Linked DNA regions of Cricetulus griseus. The protein of the gene in region 3 interacts with the protein of the main gene of each other region in a pairwise test. Links are inferred from orthologs where the notes say so. Each region holds a gene or a part of one and is shown on either strand. Other genes may lie near its edges.

Evidence for each region.
Region 1: the proteins of Usp15 (region 3) and Mad1l1 interact in binary tests that used the Homo sapiens proteins (3 or more experiments, as listed by UniProt). The two-hybrid records come from large-scale screens. The link is inferred for Cricetulus griseus from reciprocal best matches to the Homo sapiens genes USP15 and MAD1L1.
Region 2: the proteins of Usp15 (region 3) and Card9 interact in binary tests that used the Homo sapiens proteins (3 or more experiments, as listed by UniProt). The two-hybrid records come from large-scale screens. The link is inferred for Cricetulus griseus from reciprocal best matches to the Homo sapiens genes USP15 and CARD9.
Region 4: the proteins of Usp15 (region 3) and Trim21 interact in binary tests that used the Homo sapiens proteins (3 or more experiments, as listed by UniProt). The link is inferred for Cricetulus griseus from reciprocal best matches to the Homo sapiens genes USP15 and TRIM21.

Annotation. Positions count from the first base shown.
Region 1 is NC_048597.1:76,648,323-76,651,742, forward strand, and holds the end of Mad1l1 (mitotic spindle assembly checkpoint protein MAD1), read right to left. Parts: intron 1,142-3,420; coding exon 983-1,141; 3' UTR 569-982; downstream 1-568. UniProt on the Homo sapiens protein: Component of the spindle-assembly checkpoint that prevents the onset of anaphase until all chromosomes are properly aligned at the metaphase plate.
Region 2 is NC_048599.1:137,744,296-137,747,865, reverse strand, and holds part of Card9 (caspase recruitment domain-containing protein 9), read left to right. Parts: coding exon 1-87; intron 88-532; coding exon 533-670; intron 671-866; exon of another isoform or gene 867-1,442; coding exon 1,443-1,747; intron 1,748-1,825; coding exon 1,826-2,005; coding exon of another isoform or gene 2,006-2,089; coding exon 2,090-2,233; intron 2,234-2,559; coding exon 2,560-2,685; intron 2,686-3,570. UniProt on the Homo sapiens protein: Adapter protein that plays a key role in innate immune response against fungi by forming signaling complexes downstream of C-type lectin receptors.
Region 3 is NW_023276806.1:134,020,096-134,023,665, reverse strand, and holds part of Usp15 (ubiquitin carboxyl-terminal hydrolase 15), read right to left. Parts: intron 883-3,570; coding exon 709-882; intron 1-708. UniProt on the Homo sapiens protein: Hydrolase that removes conjugated ubiquitin from target proteins and regulates various pathways such as the TGF-beta receptor signaling, NF-kappa-B and RNF41/NRDP1-PRKN pathways.
Region 4 is NC_048596.1:96,827,343-96,830,439, reverse strand, and holds the end of Trim21 (E3 ubiquitin-protein ligase TRIM21), read right to left. Parts: intron 2,862-3,097; coding exon 2,317-2,861; 3' UTR 505-2,316; downstream 1-504. UniProt on the Homo sapiens protein: E3 ubiquitin-protein ligase whose activity is dependent on E2 enzymes, UBE2D1, UBE2D2, UBE2E1 and UBE2E2.

The DNA.
Region 1 (3,420 bases), on a different chromosome or scaffold from region 3:
ACGTGTGCCGGCAGCATTAGTGCTTCAGTGCTTCAGGCCCAGCGCAGGCAGAGCATCCCCTCGGTGTACCCGGCCTGCAGCAGTCCCAGGTGGGCTTCCCATCTGTAAGCAGCGCACCGGGATGATCATGGCGGTATCTCTGCTCGAAGGAGGCAGACCCTGCCTCTCTGAAGCCCCAAAAGGGGCTTCCATCCTCTACCTTAAATGGGTCACATACACACCTGGAACCATGCCCAAAGGGAGTGACTACTGTTCATAGGCAAGATGCTGCTATAATTAGCCTCTGGACCTAGAGACCTCAGGCAGGGGAGAGGCAGGTGGAGTAACCAAGGCAGGGAGTTGATACCCAGGCTCTGGTGGGATGGGACACAATTGCTTCCCTGACCCCATCCACCTCTTAGTCCACACCTAGTTGTCCAAGCATGGCAGGCTGTGCGGAGAGACCTGCCCAGGTGTCCAGTGGAACATGGCAGGTGGTGTGGTGAGGCCTGCCCAGGTGTCCAGGCATGGCAGGCAGTGTGGTGGAGTCTGGGCAGTGAGGTAGCTTGGTGCCTTGGAAACAGACGGGGAAAACGATAAAGATAACACTTTATTTCATTAGGCTGAGACTGCAGTCTCAGGCCACAGCCTGGCCACCAAAGTGGCCTCAAGCAACCAGCATATGGGACTGGAGGCTGGTGTGGGGCCACCTTGGGACAGTGCAGGGAGGGGCTCTAAAACAGGAGGAAGAGGAGAGGCCCAGTGTTTGGGACAAGAGAGGAGAGTAGTAGACTGTGATCTGGCTTGGTCGTCCCTAGCAGCTGCTCCTGCTAGCTAGGGACTAGAGACGGAGAGACAGAGTGGCTGCTTGAGCAGAGGCTCTGGCTAGTGTTTGTGGCACGATGCAGCTATAGGTGGCAAAGGGGTCTGGGGACAATGTGGGGTATAGGCTAGGCAGAGGTCCAGTGGCTGTAGAGTGAGGATGCCTGCGGGCAGATGGAGGCTAGATGGAGGTCTGGCGGCTGAACAGCTCGATGGTGAGGGCGCTGAGGAAGGCAGGAATGCTATCTTGCTGCAGCAAGTGCAGCTCAATGAGCTCAGGCACTGAACGGGAGAACTCCGTCTCCAACAGCTGCATCTTGGAGCCTGAGGGTCCTGTGGCCTGCAGGAGGAGAAAAGAGAGGGGCATCAGTGCTGATTGTTGGGCAGGTGTCTGCCCTTTGTCCTCACATGCTCCCAGTGGAGGGGGTGAGGGCCCAGGAAGGCTGTACTCCTGCCATCGCAAGAGCAGCCTGGGCTAGACGGGCACTGGCCTGCTTCTGCCCGATGCCCATTGAGGCAAAGCACGAGGTCATCCGCAGAGGGAGCTGAGATTCACAGCAGGCAGGCAGTCTTGCCTCAATAGGATTTGGATTCTTGGGGGCTTCAATTCCAGTCACCAGCTCTTCAGCTGTCACATGCTTGACTTGGGGAGGCAGAGTAAGCCCCAAGCATCTTCCAGACTGTGAAGCCAGGATGCTGGGTATTGGCTGATGGAGGTTTGGTCCTGGAAGGGTAGACTCTGGAGCCCAGACTGGTTCTTTCCCTGTTTTCTTATGTCACTTATAACTGAAGGGAGGGCATAGTGACTCTGTGATGGCTGTGATGGGGAGGTGGGAGTGGAGCTTGCAGGTAGGCTCAGAGCTGCAATGGTACACAGCTTGGCCTCCCGGGGCATGCCCAGGTTACTTGGCTGTTTGGCCAGGCTGCCCTCTTACCATGTAGGCTAGGCTGGGAGAAGCAGACAGAGGCCCTGAGTGAACCTCCTTGTAATCCTGAATTTCCCTGCTATCACTTATCCTGGGGCCTCCCCTGCCAACTGGCCCAGGAATGCTGCAGTGGCCAAAGATGTAGAAGGCCTGCTTGACTAGGGAAGAAAAATTCCTGTTTACAAGGCCAGGCAAGAAGTGGTCACAAACCCACTCTGGATTGCTCCCAAACCTTAGGTCTGATGTAGAACTGGTATCTAGCAAACCTAGAGCCCCTCCTCACTCAGCCACAGAAACAGGACCCGGCTGGGAGGCGGGTATAGGTCAGACTGGATGGTTCTCCAAAGAAGAAGCAGGAGGGTCTGATAAAGTTGGTGGGCTTATGGGGTCATCAGGGCAGATGTCAGTCAGGCCAGAGCCCATTAGGAAAGGTGGATGAGGAGGAGGAGAAATCAGAAGACCTGGGCATCATTGCAGGAAGCTCAGGTATTATGGAAAAGCCTGGCAATTCCTCCGTTATGACCCATTGGTACCCCTCCATTGTGCCCTCAGAACATGTAAATACATGTATCCACAGTAAGATGTACATGGGATGTCCACAGTGATATGATTCATATGTACACACACACACACACACACACACACACACACACACACACACACACACACACACACTCTTTAGCCCTGAAAAGGAACAAGGGGACAAGACATGATGCATGATAGCTCAGGGTCAACTTTGAACATAGTGATGCCATTGACATGAGGCATCCATACAAGACAATATGTAGAGGTAGGAGGCAGATTGGTGTGGACCAGGATGAGAGGGGAAGGGAGTGCCTGCTCCAGTGATAGTGTTTCTCTGTGGATTAGCCTGTGCCAATGAATGCACAATGGATGTGCTAATGAGAACCCAAATGCATGGCCACCGTGAAGCCAAGGCAGGGATGAATTTGTTCTGAAAGGTCCCTTCCTGCCAGTGGCTCTGCAGGTGCCTCTGTTCCTGGGAGCCATACAGATGGTCAGTCTGCTCCCATGGGTCCTGGCAGCCCATGACTACCACTGACTCCCTAGCATGAGCAAGAGAGGACCTGGGGAGCAGCCTGTGCCCCCAACCCCTCCACCTCCATCCCTCGTGGGGCATCAGGGCATGTGAGGTTTTGTCTCAATGACTCCCTGAGCTGTCTTCTGACTTGCTTGTTACCTGGGTTTTCCTCCTGTTTTCTCACGTGGGTCGACCCCCAGCCTGTTCCCTTGGCCCTTATTACATTTGGCCTTGTCATAGTTCAACACAAACCATCTTTAAACAAAAATAAGAGAAACCACTCTGACCTTTTCTCGAGAAAATCCTTTCATTTCTCCCTTCTGCTCTCGACTCGCAATGTTTTTCCCGAAATGTCAGAGGGGCTGACTCTGAGGCGGCTGTTGGGGAAGGAGCAGGCGGAGCTGTGGGGGTAGGAGCAGGGTGCCAGGAGAGCCTCCAGGGTTCTTTCCTGTCCCCCATGGTATGGGTCTCCTCAGCAGGAGATGTCATGCCTCTTCTGCACCCCCCCCCAGGTGTAGGGGTGTGTGTGTGTGTGTGTGTGTGTGTGTGTGTGTGTGTGTGTGTTTAAGTGTGGTATTAGGGGTGGAACCTAGGGCCTCATACGAGTTAGAGGCAAGTACCCTACCACCAAGCCACACTCCCCAGCCCTTT
Region 2 (3,570 bases), on a different chromosome or scaffold from region 3:
ATCTGCGCCAGTGCAAAGTCCTGAACCCCGATGATGAGGAGCAGGTGCTCAGTGACCCCAACCTGGTCATTCGCAAGCGGAAAGTGGGTGAGGGCTGCTCCCACACCAGCAGGGCTGTCCCTAGTCCCTCATGGTCCCCACAGACACCTGGCCAGAGGCTGCTACATGCTGTGCCGCCCTGGCCTTGTCCCCACCCAGCTCCATCTACACCTAGGATGTATGCATGAGAGCCTTCTCTCCTCTCATCATGCCTACCTGCTGCTACCCAGAGGAGGGAAGGGGAGTTCCTACCATTGTTCAGGCTGTGAGAGAGCCACAAGAGTGAAGGCAGCACCTTACTCTGCCTTGACTGAGACCTGCAGGGTGCCTTATGCAATGCCCCAGATCCCTCTGCTAGGAAGGGCCCAGAAACGAGGGCTGGGGGTCCACAGCTTGGCACCTCTACTCAGAGCAGTCATCCACTGTCCCACCTGGGCCCCAGAGCTTCTACATACCCAGACCTTGGCCTCAACTCTGTCTCTTCCATCTGTAGGTGTGCTACTGGACATCCTGCAGCGGACAGGCCACAAGGGCTATGTAGCCTTCCTTGAGAGTCTGGAACTCTATTACCCTCAATTATACAGGAAAGTCACGGGCAAGGAGCCAGCACGAGTCTTCTCCATGATCATTGGTGAGAGGCACAGAGTGGGTGGGTGCTGTGAGTGCAGTCAGGTGCCACCAGGTCCTGGCTTCTGTGATTACATCAGAATGAATGAGTCTAATACAAGCCCTGTGGTACATATCAGAGTAGTGGTACCAGTGACTACTCTCAGGTGCTCAGGGTCAGGGCTCCCTTCTCTGCCTTTCCTACTCCCATCCTAAGAACATCCACTAAGAAGAGGTGACCCCTCTATAAAGTATTAATTCCATGGGGCCCAGTTACCACCTAAGGACAGAATCCCACAGTTTCTAGAGGGGACAGAGGTGAACTGATGGAATAGCCACATCCCTATCAGTCCACATCCCTATCATTCATCTCATAAAGATCTTTATAAAGGTAGACAGAGGGCCAGGCATGCTGGCACACACCTTTAATCCCAGGGAGAAGCAGGCAGATCTCTGAGTTAGAGGCCACCCTGGACTACATAGTGAGACCTTTTCTCAGGGAAAAGAGAGAGAAAAAGAGAGAGAGAGAGAGAGAGAGAGAGAGAGGGCCAGCTGGAGTCCTGGCATGTGATAAGTTAGAATCTCAGTCAGTTCATATGTGAGGGGCAGCAAGGCAGACTGGGCCTGGTGAACAGTCCCCAGGGAGCCTTCCCACCAGCTTTCTCTCTGTGGAAGACCAGTAGTGCTCCCTCTGCCCCTCAAACTGCTGGTCTTCAAGCACATACTTCTGGACAAGGACAAGCACAGGGTCTGCAGGTGACAGCCACAGGCTCCATCTGACACTGCATGGTCCCCAGATGCATCAGGGGAGTCAGGCCTGACGCAGCTGCTGATGACAGAGGTCATGAAGCTGCAGAAGAAGGTTCAGGACCTGACGGCACTTCTGAGCTCCAAGGACGACTTCATCAAGGAGCTTCGGGTAAAGGACAGCCTCCTGCGCAAGCACCAGGAGCGTGTGCAGCGGCTCAAGGAAGAGTGTGAGCTGAGCAGCCGAGAGCTGAAGCGCTGCAAGGATGAGAACTATGACCTGGCCATGCGCCTAGCACATCTGAGTGAAGAGAAGGGCTCAGCGCTCATGCGGAACCGGGACCTGCAGCTCGAGGTGATCGCTTGTCCCACCAGCAGGGGGGTGGGGGTGGGGGTGTCTGGAGGAGGCTGCTGCTGACTGGACCACCCACAGGTGGACCGGCTCAGGCACAGCCTCATGAAGGCAGAGGATGATTGCAAGGTGGAGCGAAAACACACCCTGAAGCTCAGGCATGCTATGGAGCAGCGGCCCAGCCAGGAGCTGATGTGGGAGCTGCAGCAGGAAAAGGACTTGCTGCAGGCCCGGGTGCAGGAGCTGGAGGTCTCTGTACAGGTAGGGCTACCAGCAGTGCACACCAGGGGCACACCAGATGGTACAACTGCAATGGCCAGGCTTGTTGCCCTTTGCCACCTCCAGGAGGGCAAGCTAGACAGGAACAGCCCCTACATTCAAGTGCTGCAGGAGGACTGGCGCCAGGCACTGCAGGAGCACCAAGAGCAGGCCAACACCATCTTCTCCCTACGCAAGGACCTCCGCCAAGCTGAGGCCCTCCGGACCCGGGTGAGAGGGCAGGGCAGGCAAGCAGTACCCACTGGGTATCTGGAAGGCAGGGTCTGGAATGTAACTCACTGTCTCCCCTTCACCAATTCCTGGTGCACAGTGGTGTCATGTCCACAGCTAGGGTCATCCTTTCAGTTTACCGTGTGATCGGTGGTGGCTGAGGCCATGGTCTCAGACCAGGCAAGCCTGCTGTGGCCTGGGACTGCAGTGCCCTTCCCATCATCCCGGCTAGCCCGATCTTGAGTGCTCTGAAGGTGTTGCCTGAGTCCAGCCCAGGGCCAGGTGAGCAGTGGAGAGTGGGTGAGGCTGAGTGGTGCTTCCTGTAGTGCGTGGAGGAAAGGGAGATGTTCGAGCTGCAGTGCCTGGCCTTGCGTAAGGATGCCAAGATGTACAAGGACCGGATCGAGGCTATCCTGCAGCAGATGGAGGAAGTCTCCATTGAGCGGGACCAGGTAGGTGTTGCATTTGTGTTCAGAAGATGAGAATGAGAGGAGTGTTTGGGTGCCGGTGTAGAGGCTTTTGAAGCTGTGGTCAACTCATTACTTTATCTATCTATCTATCTATCTATCTATCTATCTATCTATCTATCTATCTATCTACCTACCTACCTATCTATTTATGCCTGAGGTAACTTGGCAATGTTGAAAGATAGAACCTGGAGCCTCTTGTACAAAGACAGGAACATCTGCCTCTCTCACAGGAAGGGCCAGTGTAGCAGGGGAGTCCCAGTGGCGCCTGTGCTGGTTAGGGGAAGGTCAGGGTTGGAAACTTCAATAGAGGAGAGGAAGTTGCTAGCTACACAGGTGGGAGGTGGAGGCCACAGTATTGGGTAGAAGAGCTGGTGGTAACCCCCTGGAATAGGCAGCAGTAGTAGTAGTGGTAGCTCATACCTGTACTCCCAGCATTTGGAGGTTGAAACAAAATAACTACTGTGAATTCAAGGCCAGCCTGGATTACACAGTGAGTTCCAAGCCAGTTTGGGCTACAATGGTAGACCCGGTCTCAAAAAACCAAAAACAACAAAAAGTAGTAGCAACTGAGCCAACTTTGGTGGCACATGCCTGTAATTCCAGGCTTTGGAGGTAGAGTCAGGAGGATCAAAAATTCAAGGCCATCCTCAGATACATAGTAAATTTTAGGCCAGTTTGGGAAATGAATGAAACTGTCTCCCAGGAAACAAAAGAAGAAGCATGGTATTCATTTTAAGAACAGCCATCAATCATGTTCTTTGTTTGTTTTTTGTTTTTTTGAGACAGTGTTTCTCTGTGTCATCTTGGCTGTCCTGGAACTCACTTTGTAGACCAGGCTGGCCTCCAACTCACAGAGATCCGCCTGCC
Region 3 (3,570 bases):
CAGAGACATTCCAAACCACTTTAAACCATATTAGTGTCTTTTTGTTTTGTTCCCCTTATTATTCCCTTTATTAGTAACCTTTTTCATAAAGATTTAGTTTTAATTATGTGTACACAAGTGTGAGTTTGCACCTGAGTGCAGATGCCCATGGAAGTCAGAAGAGGGCATCAGATCCTCTCCAGCTTGAGTCACAGAGGCATTTCTGAGCCACCTGATGTTGGTGCTGGCAACCTGGGTACTGGAAACTCAAGTCCTCTGGAGAGGTAGGAAGTGCTCTTAACTGGAGCCATCCCTCTCCAGCCCATTTCCAGACATTAAGAAAACAAAACCACTCCAGGCGTTGGTGGCGCACGCCTTTAATCCCAGCACTCAAGAGGCAGAGGCAGGTGGATCTCTTTGAGTTCGAGGCCAGCCTGGTCTCCAGAGCAAGTGCCAGGATAGGCTCCAAAGCTACACAGGTGTCTCAAACCCCCGAAAGAAAAAAAGAAAGAAAGAAAGAAAGAAAGAAAGAAAGAAAGAAAGGAAAGAAAGAAAGACAAAAACAAACAAAGAGCCCTAATCACCCACCCTGTCCTGTGCCCTGTGTCACATGGATGGGATGACACTGTAATGGGACATCATCCCTTTCACCTTAGTATTTTTTTCTTTTCTTTCTTGATTTTCTGGGGACAAGAGCACACTTGCTGAGAGTAAGCTTATCATACTCACCTTAAATGCTCTAGGAGTGACATAGCTGAACTTTCCAGACCACATCTGCTTGATCAATTCAGCATATGACTTAGCTATTTCACCTCTCATTCCTAAGGGATTGTCAAAATTCAGCTCTTCTTGGTACTTGTCATTGAGGAAATATTCAGTAAGTGGAGGTGTGTTGCTCAAACACTGCAAGGAACAAAATACATCTTAAAGTAAAAGTAATAACATAAATACATAATGTTAAAATGAAGAGTGAATCAAATCAATTTACTCTATCATATACAGAAACAAAAATGGTCTCTTGTACTAATTAACTGTCACTCAAATGGGGCACTTACTCATTTCACAAACTTTCAATCAGTTACTTATAATAAAAATACTAATGTGTGTTGCTGCAAAATCTACATTTAATTCTGACCACAGCAAACTACCTGTTAATTGGGAGAGAAGCTCGGAGTTCTCTTTCCTTCTTTTACTTGATTGGTAAGAATTATGGATTGTCTAATCATCCCAGGCACCTGAAAATGAGCCTGAGCAGGTAAAAACTGAGATAGCATGCAAGAAAAAAAAAAAAATCACTTAAAAGAGGTACAGATGGTTCATGATATCCATGGCCTCAATTCAATTACAGATAGGAGAATATTTGGGAAAAAAAGTTACATTCATACCTAACAAAAGTTTTTTGATCATTATTCTTTAGCTGGTAAAATGTAAAGGCACTATAGGCAAGCTAGAGATGATTTAAAATGTATAGGAGATACCTAGGTAATGTGGTAATTGTAAGTCATTTAATATAAAACACTTGTGTATCAGCCGGGCATTGGTGGTGCATGCCTTTAATTCCAGCACTCGGGAGGCAGAGGCAAGCGGGTCTCTCTGAGTTCGAGACCAGCCTGGTCTACAAGAGCTAGTTCCAGGACTGCCTCCAAAGCCACAGAGAAACCCTGTCTCAAAAAACCAAAAACACTTGTGTATCTGTGGATACCATGACAATGACTGTATTTACTGCTTCTGCAGCCAATGCCTTATCATAAAGGAGTTTTTAAACCTGTCATCTGGCTGGCAGTATTTATAAATGATAGTATTGACCAGTAAAGCCTAGGAAGACAACTTTGGGCAAACCCTGTTTTTTTTTTTGTTTGTTTGTTTGTTTTTTTGGGGGGGAGTTCGAGGCAGGCTTTCTCTGTGGCTTTGGAGGCTGTCCTGGAACTAGCTCTTGTAGACCAGGCTGGTCTCAAAGTCGAAGAGATCTACCTGCCTCTGCCTCCCGAGTGCTGGAATTAAAGGCGTGTGCCACCACCACCCAGTTTACAGTTCTTAATACAATAACAATCCAATTTTCTTTTATGAGAAAATTAAAAACTGCAACAAAGTTCTCCAACTTGTTTTTTATTTGAATCAATTCCTGATAAAACATTTAAGAGATGGTAGAAACACATTTTCCCACAATATTTTATCTTATGATGGAATAATTTTAAATTGATGATGTATATAATTTGACCTCAGTAGGAGCCATGTTACTTTACTAATGAATGTTTCAAATATGTAAAGTGTTACATACAGTATAATTATCTAAGTCATATAAATAGCCATATATACCTTTTTATGCAAGAATGTATTTTTCTTGGAGTCAAGTGACAAAGTGCTAGAAAAGAAATCAGTTGCGTGTGTGAAACATTAAAAAAAATCATTCTGTTCAGAGTTTCAATAGTCATGGAAATCAAAGTTTTGGGGAGCTGGTATGCAACTAAGTTGCATAAAGTTAAAAAGGCTTTGTAGTGATGTTCAACATGCTGGGATTATGAAGATAGTTTAAATTATGACCATATTATGTAGTCTGGTCAAAATACCAATGTAAGCATATTCTTTTACTTAGTTCTTTCAAGTAAATTATGATACTCTTTTTTTTTTTTTTGGTGTCAACTATACTCACTTATGTCTACTAAGTCATCATAGTTATCTATAAAATCTGAATGTAGTCTAAATTGGTAGTCAAGCCCCAACCCTCAAGAGGACCTTGGAAACTTTGCAGGCCTTGAGAGTCCTTTACATTTGCTTCCAGTATTAAAAAAAAAAAAAAAAAAAAAAAAAAACAACTTTGTATTAAGAGAAAATACATAGGGAGTTTATAATGTACAAGGTAATTAAGGGAAAGGATACATTCTTTTGATCCCAAATCCTTTTATGTCTCAACAATCATATATCCCACTTGAGTTTCATTTTCTTCTTTTGTTTGACATTTCACTTTTAATTGCAAATGAAGCACTGGAGGGAGGGCCAGGCAATAGAGACCTCATTAGAAGAACACAGCTGCAGTCACCTAGCAGCACCCTCTCATTTGCCACAAGTAGCAAAGGGGCAGTAACAGCAATATATAACTAGCTCTTAGTTTCCAAATCTTCATATTTGATTTGGTTACCATTATTAATAATTAATTAATAAAGTCTATTATTACACTTATACAAATAACCAAATTTATGGCTTTACCAAATAGTTCAAAAAATAAGCGGTGCTAACATGAATAATTTCTGAACATTATTTTTAATAAATTATTCATGAGTATTCTTAACTTGCAAGACCTCCCAAATACAACTAAAAAAAATTTTAGCTCTCTACCAGTGATCTTTTAAGCGTGTTTAATATTACTTCCTTACACTCATCTTAGAACCCAGTTCTCAGATATTCCTCTGACAATAAATGAATGCCTTTACTTCTTTGTGCACTGACAGACAGTCCCTTAACTTCTATGCTTCCTCTCAATGCCACACAACTTCACCTATTTGAAAACTATCTTCTCGCCATATTAGTTCCATCCTCTAAATGAGATTCGGGTATCCCATCTGGGATGTGCTCTCAGATCCTCAATGTTTCCTA
Region 4 (3,097 bases), on a different chromosome or scaffold from region 3:
AACTCCATGGCCTGGCCCAGAGCAGCTATTAAACACTCTCTTCCACTGGAAGAATCCCAAGGCAGAATCCGAAGTCCAAGAGAGGACATAGCCTCATTCTGGGTGTCAGAGAAAGTGACTTACATCAAGACAACCCCAAACATCTAAAATGCTCTTAAATGGACTCCATTGTGATCAGGGTGTTGTTGGAAGGCCAACCTGAATCCATGGGCGTAAGAGCTGTAGAGGGGAGGAAAGAGCAGGGAGGAAAGCTCACTCTTTCTTTCTCACTCTTACACATAAAACAGATGCAACAACAATGAAAACCCATGAAAGTTAAGGGAGGACTATTTGTGGGAAAGACAGAGGATGATGCTGGAGGAGTGGTCTTGGAGGTGGATGTGAGCAGAGCGCATTGATATGTTTGCACAAAAATGTAATAATGAAACTTACTGTATGCTTACAAAAATCTATGAGAAAATGAAATATCTGTCAGGTTTTGCTTTATATCTTGAAACACAGAAGTGTATTTTAAATATTCCCAAGGAATTTATTTACTTATCAAAACATTTTTTACCAAACTTCACACTAGCTCAAAGTTCAATTCAGTGTTTACATCTCACTACTGGTGTCTCCACCTGCATGCATTCCACAAAAACATCTTTTCGACAAAACCATGTGACCAGCAGTCACACGGTGAACCCCATGGTCAGCCTCTTTGTTCCCCTGAATGGACAAGCCACTGCTTGGCTACAAGGTCAAAGTTTGATCTCAAAGTTATTGACAAAGGAGGGGGTGCAAAATGTTCTTTTAATACAAACAAAACCCATAAGTGTCTTTCTTAAGAATGGATAATAAAAAGGAACAGCACTGTTAAACATGTTTTGGAATGAAAGAAATACAGATGTTTTCTTCTGGCCCAGCTGTTGAAACTCTTCTTGTTCTACTCCCAGGCCTCTTCATTGGGTACCACAAAGTCTTCACTTGAGGCTAGAGAATGTCTATAGTCCTCTGCCCATCCTCCTAGCCAGCTAGCTCAATGATTCTTACAGCTTTCTGAGGTAGGCATTTCTCTCCTGTTAAGTCTTCAGTAGTAAGCTTCAATATTCTGACCTGTTGCACCAACTGGACATTTTTCATCCTAGTTGCCCACACCAGGATCCTTTCACACCACCCCAGGTTAACCTTTAGTCATCAAAGTTCTGTGTTGAAATGGGTCTCTGTGAGGCTGCACTGCGAGAGCTGAGAGGCTTCTTCAGTTTGAGTTGGAACAACAAGGGAGCAGCTGCAGTTTCTTGTTTCTAGCAGCTGCTGGGTCATAATTGTTTCCATCCATAGTGTATAGAAAAACCTCTGGAATTACTGACTGAATTAAAAAAAATCATCCTGGATTTTCTTTATTGTGCATTTATCCATCCTTCTTAAATCTGCTTACAGCATTTTTGAAGCTCTGGATATATTTGTGTTCCAGCTCAGCTACTAATTGCACTTTCTTCAAGGCAATGGAACCAGGGAAGAGCACACCTATAAACTGACAACTGTCAGCCTCTGAGCACAACTTTCCCTTTCTTGTGAGATTCAACTGCAAAGACTCACCAGGCTAGCATGGCACCTAGACTTTGGCTGTCACTGGGGACATCAAGTATACTGTCATTGTTATATTTAGCTGTTTCCTGAACCACTTTCACTACCCTGGAAGATATTCCGGGGAGGGAAAACAAACAAACAAACAAAACAACAAATTAAAAAAAACCCTCCAGCAACAACAACAACAACAACAACAACCAGAAAAACCAACCCAAACCAAAAGATATACAATGTTAAAGACACATATTCTGGGCTTTATCAACAAGGACTGAGACATAGTTTCCTAGGAAGCCCTTCTGCAAGCCATGGAAGATACAGGAATAGCTACCTGGCCAAAGGTAATAGCCAAGAAATATAGAAAAGAAAACAAAATAGGCCATACAAAGGAGGCAGAAATGTGATTTTGACTGAGCTAGATGAATTTGGTCCATTGTGAGGAGTTGTTTCACTGGAGGGAATCATTAAGGAACCTATGTTAGGAATATTGATGTTGAAAGTCAGTTGACATTGACTTTCTGTTATCTCCATCTAATGCCTTCATTCTGGGGCCCTGACTCCTCTAAAGAGATGAAGGTGTGGGATGGTTCCAACTGGATGGTCAAAAAAGGCAGAGCATGGCTGAGGAACACCAACAGGAAGTGAGTAACAGTAGCCAGAAATGGCCTCCAGTAGTCATTGGACCTTGATCATGACAAGGAGGAGGTAACAAGTGTCCAGAAGGTGCTGTCAATATGCACCAGCTCCTGATCATCACATCTTTAGTGGGCAGAGCTTTAGAGGTGCTGCATTGCCTCCATCATCATTGAAACCAACATTAAAGAAGGGCCGTAGAGGTCCAGCAAAGGCACACTCCGAGAAGGTGTAGATGAGGGAGCCATGGTCAGTGATGTTATAGAAGGAGACAATGCCAGCTTCATAGTCTACAAAGATCCCAACTTGGCATGGAGGCACCTGAAGGTGGAGGGTGGTCTGGGGGTTGGTGCCAGCCTCATAGTTGTCTTTTTTCCACAGCCAAATGGTCCAGAAGCCATTCTCAGGACTGAGTGAAAAATGTCCCTTTCTCCGCACAGATTCTCTGCAAACCCCCAGATCCCAGGCCTCCTTCCTGGTCACATCTACCTCCCAGTACATCTTCCCAGAGGTGAATCTTTGGGCACCTAGCACCATGGGGTAATTATTAAATCTCTCATCATTTTCAGACACATTCTGACGGCTATCTCCAATCCTTGCTTGTCTCCGATCCTTTGGGATAATGAGCCATGGGTTGGCTGTGTTTCTATCCAGAGTAATATGTACTGCAGAAAGAAGATCACAGGTAAGCCTGGGTGGGGCCAGCAACTCTTTGCCTGTAGTGAGGGCATTCATGCAAACTCAAAGGTGAGGGGTGACCCTGAACCTCACTATGTGAGGAAATGACCCACAGCAACCCAGGTACTTCCTCTGACGTGTGAGGAAACCTTACCTGTGTGTCTGTACTACACTTACATTCTCTTGACACCTCTTCCACATGCTACCATCCTGTGCTCTCCAT